Arabidopsis thaliana: one gene and its partner. The protein of the gene in region 1 purifies or fractionates together with the protein of each later gene. This does not show direct contact. Each region holds a gene or a part of one and is shown on either strand. Other genes may lie near its edges.

The links. The genes of interacting proteins can lie anywhere in the genome.
Region 2: the proteins of CPR5 (region 1) and LGO purify together in Arabidopsis thaliana (affinity purification with a luminescence readout, with the first as the bait; one study listed by BioGRID). This does not show direct contact.

What each region holds. Positions count from the first base shown.
Region 1 is NC_003076.8:25,945,143-25,949,970, reverse strand, and holds CPR5 (CPR5 protein), read left to right. Parts: upstream 1-1,573; 5' UTR 1,574-1,649; coding exon 1,650-2,036; intron 2,037-2,596; coding exon 2,597-2,653; intron 2,654-2,758; coding exon 2,759-2,794; intron 2,795-2,871; coding exon 2,872-4,086; 3' UTR 4,087-4,288; downstream 4,289-4,828. Other genes in the region: ATH13 (ABC2 homolog 13), read right to left, coding at 1-75, 160-295, 382-855; CIP8 (COP1-interacting protein 8), read left to right, coding at 4,629-4,828.
Region 2 is NC_003074.8:3,280,760-3,283,937, reverse strand, and holds LGO (LOSS OF GIANT CELLS FROM ORGANS), read left to right. Parts: upstream 1-1,806; 5' UTR 1,807-1,887; coding exon of another isoform or gene 1,888-1,917; 5' UTR 1,918-1,959; coding exon of another isoform or gene 1,960-1,975; coding exon 1,976-2,362; 3' UTR 2,363-2,632; downstream 2,633-3,178. Other genes in the region: AT3G10527 (uncharacterized protein), read right to left, coding at 1,888-1,917, 1,960-2,262. UniProt on the Arabidopsis thaliana protein: Probable cyclin-dependent protein kinase (CDK) inhibitor that functions as a repressor of mitosis in the endoreduplication cell cycle. Cooperates with SIM and SMR2 to promote endoreplication during leaf development.

The DNA.
Region 1 (4,828 bases):
ATCTCAAAATGTTTTCTTTCAACCACTTAGCCAAAACCTTCCTTCTTAAAACCTTCTTCTCTTCAGTCATTCCCCCTTATACACATGATTTTTCAAGAATTTAGACAAAATGAGAATCGTCCTAATCCTAGACGTAAGCAAACAAAAACAAGTATCAACCTTTATAAGAGAACTTCTTATTGCTTAACCAAGTCCTGAAAATAAACTGTACAACAAAACCCCAAATCTCCAATGTTCTTTGAATAGTTGAGTAAGTCTTGAATCTATTCCATCGACCACCAGGTGTAACAGAAACCTGTAAAACAATATTAAAGTAGCAAACTTTCAAGGAATTGAATCATTAAACAAAACGATATTGATTAAAAGTACATTACTTTATACCTCAACTTGTTTTTGTTGAGTGTTGTTCTTAAACCAAGCATCCTCTTGACCAATATCTTCTACTCTCTTCTTCCTCACTTCTTCTTTTCTCTTCTTTGTCACTTCCTCCGTTTCCACCGTTACACTTCCGTTCACATACTTCACCAAACTACCGTTACCGTTCAAACGAGCACTTCCGTTAAAATCTCCGTTGACGGATTTTCTCGCAGAGCCGTTACCGTTTAAACGTGCACTTCCGTTGTAATCACCGTTGATCTTCACTGCATTATCACGATCTTCAACAGCGACATTATCGTCTTTAGAAGCTCTGATTAATCTCGTACGAATCCGGAGATTGTGATTGTAGCTTAATCGGTTTCTGGGTAAGAAGATCCCGGCGATTGAAACGGAACGAGTGATTGTTGGAGATTGTCTTGAGTTGAAATTGATGTTTGGTAAAAGCAGAGACGACGATGAAGAAGAAGAAGTCGCCATTGATGGTAATACTTCGGAAGAGAGATCTCAAGTTAAACCCTAGTTTCTCATGGATTATTTGCGTACAAGAGATTTTGAAGAAGAAGAAGAAGAAGAAGGTGAAGACTTGTTGTTTGTTGGCACTTTGCAGTGAGAGGTTTTTTGAGGTTCATGACGAACCACAGAGAATGTTAAAAAAAAAAATTATGATAAAATAAAAGGGGTGGATATGAAAAGGACACGTGGCATAAGATGAGATTAGTGAAGGAGATGTTCTTGTGTTTTGATTGGTTGTGTTAAGACACCTCATCGTGTTATTTATCGGAGCCACAAACATTGTGCGATTTTTTTTATTGTTCCTTTTTCCAAACACTTTTATGGTCCATCTTCAAACCAAACTGATTGGTTCGGTCCTAAACTCGACTACTTGGTATGTTAATCTGGTCCTAAGCTATATGTATGACTTTTAGTTCAATTAAGTACTGAACCGATCCTATTCATTGAACAGAAAGCACCTAGAAACATCAAATTATCGCTAAAAATCGAGTAAACATATTATTACCTATTTAATTGACATTAACATATACATTGTATAATTTGAAGAATTCGTTGAACTTACAAGTTAATTCAGATATTTGGTCAAGTATTTTTCCTATATTAAGCTAATTATGACGAATTTTTAAAAATACAAATTAAATCAGAGGAAAAAGTTGGAAATTCGAAACTTTTCACTAGTCACGAAGCGACCAAAGTCTTACAACTTAAATACTTTTCTCAAAGTTGCAAATTTACCCCATAAGTTATATTTTAAGGCTATGGAAGCCCTCCTCCTCCCTCCTTCGCCGGAACCCCAAAATCAAATCACCAATCCGGCGAATTCAAAGCCAAATCATCAATCTGGTGACGTACATAAAGATGAGACGATGATGATGAAGAAGAAGAAGGATACGAATCCATCGAATTTGGAAAAGAGAAAACTCAAGGGAAAGAAGAAAGAGATTATGGACAACGACGAAGCTTCTTCGTCCTATTGTTCTACATCTTCTACCTCTAATTCAAATTCTACTAAAAGGGTTACGAGAGTGGTTCATAGATTACGAAACCCTATGCGGTTAGGTATGGCTCGACGAAGCGTTGGTGAACGACAAGCTGAAAAATTGGCGAAGCCTCTGGGCTTTTCACTTGCCGCTTTTGCTAATATGGTTCGATCAATTTCCAAACTTTGATCTTTATTGCATCACATAACTGTTTTGATACGAAATTGGCTTTGCTGGTACGGGTTGTTCCTATAGTTGACCTTGCGTGAATACTAGGTTTTGGTTGTGTTGAAAGTTTTGATCTTTAGATAGTATTAAATACAAAGTCTTTCAATTTAGGCTTTGTTGATTCAAAACTGGACAGAGGAGAGGATCTGAATCAGAGTCAAAAGGATTGAATCTGAATTTTCTTCTCTCAGTACTTGCGTGAATTCTTCACCCTGAATCGAAGAGAGGATCTTCTCCTCAAATTATAATCAGAGTCAATCAATAGAAGCTGAAGTTCTTCTTGGGGGTCTCTATGATCGAGCTTCAATGTAACATTGCAAATTTATATTGTCTTCTCTCTCACTTGCCTTAAAGCTTGAGCCTTTCTAGTTTCTACTCGGATTTGTAGTTCTGATTGTGATTTCACCAAATTTCATCCTACCTAGCCGCCAAAGTCATTGACTTGCATATGCTCTGTAGTTCTTACTCTGTTTCTACTCTGTTTTATTGTTCTCTAGGTTATTGCGAGAAAGAATGCCGCAGGTCAGAATGTTTATGTTGATGATCTTGTTGAGGTAAGTAGTATGAACTTCAAATGATTTCTTCTCAGTTTCTGTTCAATCTTTCTTTTGCCATCGTTTTGGTAGTGATACAAGAACTTCATTGATTATGCTCTCCAGATCTTTGCTACTCTTGTCGAAGAATCATTAGCCAATGTAAGCTAAAATCCCCCTCTATGTTTTCCGCATTTTTATATTTATAGACTTTCTGATTCATAATGTTGTGGTTACAGGTTTATGGTAATAAGCTTGGTTCCTTTGCGACCAACTTTGAGCAAACATTCAGCAGTACTCTAAAGATCCTTAAATTGACCAATGAATGTGCAAATCCACATCAGTCAAACAATAATGATGGTGGGAGTTGTAATTTAGATCGCTCTACCATAGACGGATGCTCAGACACCGAGCTATTTGAGAGGGAGACTTCATCTGCTACGTCTGCTTATGAAGTGATGCAAGGCAGTGCAACAGCAACCTCTTTGATGAATGAGCTTGCCCTTTTCGAAGAGACTCTACAACTCTCTTGTGTCCCTCCTAGAAGTTCAGCAATGGCTTTGACCACAGACGAAAGGTTTTTAAAAGAGCAAACACGAGCAAACGACCTAAAGACCGTGGAGATTGGTCTTCAAATAAGAGAGTTAAGGTGCAAAGAGACGGCGCTAGGATTAAAATTTGAATCAAACAACCTGGGGAAAGCGGCGCTAGAGTTGGATGTTTCGAAAGCTGCATTCAGAGCGGAGAAATTCAAAACCGAATTAGAAGATACAAGAAAAGAAGAGATGGTCACAAGAATCATGGATTGGCTCCTCGTAAGTGTCTTCAGCATGTTGGCTTCTATGGTACTTGGCGTTTACAATTTTTCAATAAAGAGAATCGAGGATGCTACCTCAGTATGCGACCAATCCGAGGAGAAAAGTTCGTCGTGGTGGGTTCCTAAACAAGTTTCATCGATTAACTCAGGCTTCAACACCTTCATCTGCCGGGTTCGAGTTTGGGTGCAGATATTTTTCGGTGTGTTAATGATCATTGTCTTCACTTACTTTCTAAACAAACGATCATCAGGTACGAAGCAGACAATGCCGATAAGTTTCATCGTTCTTTTCCTCGGTATATTTTGCGGTGTATCGGGTAAATTGTGTGTGGACACATTGGGCGGTGATGGCAAACTCTGGCTAATAGTTTGGGAAGTGTTTTGCCTTTTGCAATTCGTTGCAAATGTCTTCACATTGGCTTTGTATGGTCTAATGTTCGGTCCTATAAACGTGACTCAAGAGACCAGATCGAACCGTTGTAACAGTATGTTTCCATATTGGGCAAGGCGCAGTGTCGTGTATGTGGTGATTCTGTTTGTTCTTCCAGTCATAAACGGTCTTTTGCCATTTGCAACATTTGGTGAATGGAGAGACTTCGCTATGTATCACCTTCATGGTGGGTCTGACTATGCTTGAGACGAGGAGGCCATCTTTGTATTGTAATTTATTGTAACGATTTGGGTTTTTTAATCTTATTTTATTTTATGGGTGCTGTTGAAACAATTGTATCGCTATTACAAAGTTATGTATTCGAGTTATATGTTTGTATTGTTGTCAAAAGAAATTAAAATTATGCTTTTCGATATGACAAAATTTCATGGGTCAAATGGTACTTTATCTTATCAAGTTTTTGGATAAAAGTGCAAGTCAGTTTTGATTTGGAAGCTGGTTTAAATTGGATTGAACAATTTGATTTTTATGTTTGACAGCAATTGAACAGTTTGATTAAATTGTAAGTATTATGAATTTATGATGATGGTGATATCATATATAGAAGAAAATATTATGATATTGTGGGTGGGTCAAGTGGGTAAATGAGCAGGATTCTCTAATGTCTTAAAAATTCGATAATAATAATACAGAGAGACCTTTTTCTTTTATTTTCTCCATCCTCTTAATCGGCTTATCGGATCCGAATCCGGACCCGAAAGCCTGAAAACCCGACGATTAATTGCACGATGTCCGATGCTCCGTCGTCTTCCCCGGATGCCACGGCGTCGCACTGGTGCTATCACTGCAACAAACGCGTCGTCGTTGAAACCTTAGATGACTTTGTCGTGTGCTGCGAATGTAACAAAGGTTTCGTCGAGTCAATTCAACCGACTCCCGCCGCTTATTCATCGCCGGCGCCACCGCAGCCACTTTCCCCAGATCTGAA
Region 2 (3,178 bases), on another chromosome or scaffold:
TTATTACTATTATTACAAGTGCATTTTTAATTTGTAGGACATTGTGAGACTTTAAGATCAGTTGTTCTTATTTCTCGATTCCTTTTCCATTTACATTCCATTTAAATCTGGTATTGCTTTTAGACGATTCGTTTTGGCCAAAGTTTTAACAACCGTAAGTATATTGGACCACCGAAACTTCAACATCGATTATAATTGATGGATTCTAAATGCTACAGATTGTTTGATTGTGATCGTATGGTTTCGTGGCCTTACAAAATTACATCGACTTATCCTAATTCCTCATATACATATCTCTCTTTCCGTAAAAATCGAAGCAAGAAAACGTGTCAATGTCAATAAACAAAAAAACAAATTACAGTAACCAAAAGAAAAGAGAGAGAAGAACATAATAAGAGAGGAAGAAGGGTTGACAAAAAAAAGGGCCAGAGATTGAGATCCTGCGAGAGAGATCATATAGATCTTTCCATTTCTGTACTTTTTTAGTTAGATATTACCACTGACTCACTTACACAGATCTACTCTATATACAGTATATATCATCATCACATGCTTTTCTACGTGGCATGTCCAAAATATGTCATATTTTGCCGTAAAATTACTCAGCAAATGTAATAATTAATTACATAAATATACAGCTAGCTTAGCGAGTTTGTGTACATGTTAAGAGTACTGATAATTCTAAGAATGAAGACAAAAAGAACATCAACAACGTATAGCAAAGTATAAACTAAATTTATAATCGTACCAAATCTATTTTTCGGTTGTAATTTAATAATTAGATTTTGTAAACCAATGTAGATCTTACATTAAGTTGAAAAACGCAAAGTGTTTAGGATGAGTAAGCAAAGCAAACTCATGTTACAAGTCTAATAATTGTTCTATGGCATGGCAAAGGCTTACATTTTTTTCTACATTATTAAACTTGGCGTGTAAAACGTTGTGGGTCCACCGTATATGTTGAAATCATAATGTCACATAAAAATTATACAGCTTCTCACATTGGACATTAAGTAATTATTAAAGTAGAGGATACAGAAACTGATGCAATCAATTGTTTACATAAAATATAATGATGCATGGACTAGTTTTAAATCTAATCACATGCCATGTTTTTAGGTTTGTAATAGGTACAAGACACACATTTAACCAAACTTTATGTTTGAGATCTAAGATAAGACATTGATCTAAAATTTGTATATATATGTGTGTACTTTTCTTTACTACCTATAGATGGTATTACTATTACTTTGATGGTTCGAGTTTTTTTATTAAGTAAAAGTTTCTATATAGACACACTTTAATGTTCTTGTTGAGACCATAACCCACACGTCTTTAGATAGGAGACCGATGGTACGAGAACACCATTTGCGTTTGTTTCATGAGTTATGGCCCTCCTTAATTCACTCGCACTTCCAAACTTTAGAGTTTCATTTGTCTTTTGTAAACTTTTTGGGAAATCTCCAGTCATTTTTTTCACTTTTTTTTATTATTCAACAAATATTACAGTACAAAACTTAATATAGCTAGTCATCTTACTAAGGTCATCCCAAAGGTTTTAAGCAATCACTAACAAAATTAGGCAACCCTTACAAATTGTGAATCACATGTGCTCTAGCTAGTTTTGTACATAAACACAAATACATACAAACTATACAAGTAACTTACCATCCCTAGTAAATAATATATTTTTTTCTAAATTCGGAAGTTACGTCCATTTTCCCTTCCCATTTTATATAGTTTTACCTTACTTACTCCATACTATATTTTATATTTTATTTTCGTTTTCCATGCCAAAAAGTAACTCTCATTTCTAAATGCGACATTCTAACTTTATGTATGTATATACGTGTATGTAAAGACACAAACACATATAACAAACCCTTCTCAACCTCTCACTTCTCCAAGAAGTTTTCTCTACATCCACAAAAGAAAAAAAGTTTCCCAAAAAACAAAAACATACACAAGTTTAGATATGGATCTTGAATTACTACAAGATTTGTCCAAATTCAATTTCCCAACACCCATCAAGATCCGATCCAAAACCTCAAAAACAAAGAAGGACGAAGGTGATGACGACGAAGATGACCTCCGCTGCAGCACACCCACATCCCAAGAACACAAGATTCCCGCCGTCGTAGACTCTCCACCTCCTCCGCCGAGAAAACCCCGGCCACCACCGTCAGCACCGTCGGCTACGGCGGCTCTGATGATCAGATCGTGCAAGAGGAAGCTTTTAGTGTCGACTTGTGAGATAATCATGAATCGGGAAGAGATTGACCGTTTCTTCTCCTCCGTCTACAATGAGACGTCGACTACGGCTAAACGGCGGAGAAGTTACCCTTATTGTTCTCGAAGATGAGGCTTAATTCAATATTTACATTTTTTTACAGTTTTACTGGAAATATTGTGAAATTAATTATCTGTTGGTGTTCGGTTTTAAATATTTTTAATTTAATTATGAATATGGATGGATAATTTTCTGCAACCGCGCATATTAATTTCGCATGGAGGGGTCGATGTTGTAAATTGAGTAATAAATGAAATTTAATTCCAATTGCCAAGTTTTCTATACAATAATGTGATATTTATGTCATTTATAAGAGACAAGATCGTTTTATCATCCAACTTCATGGAAAAAATAGTTTCAAAACATATATTGTCGACTTCTAAAGTTGAAGAACGCGTTTACCTACTATGACCGATATGATGTAAAATATCCGCAGCCAATATGAAGGATCAAAATATCTCCTGGTAAAAAAAAAAATTGTGTTATATATGACGCATGCATGTATATGAAATCTTTGAACAAACTTTTGTATATATGTCGCCTGATAAAAAGTTATTTATCAATATATTAAATTACAGTGATGTTAGCTAGTGATCAAGCATTGCTTGCTTCATGAGCAATGGGTGGTACATGTTCTTTTAAATATAAAATCATTGCATTTATGTGAGAATATGATGGCAATCAAATCAAAAGATAACTATTACTCGTATAGTCTCAAACAATATAATGTCATAGAGTTTATTTTTTAATATACAAGTCGATATTTGTACATTTAACGTTTATTATGTTACTGTATCTTAGATTCCAATTTCATTCATCTAGGTTGAACCGAAAACGCTTTGGTACCTCTCACAATATATATTTTTCTCAGTTAGATAACTGATGTAC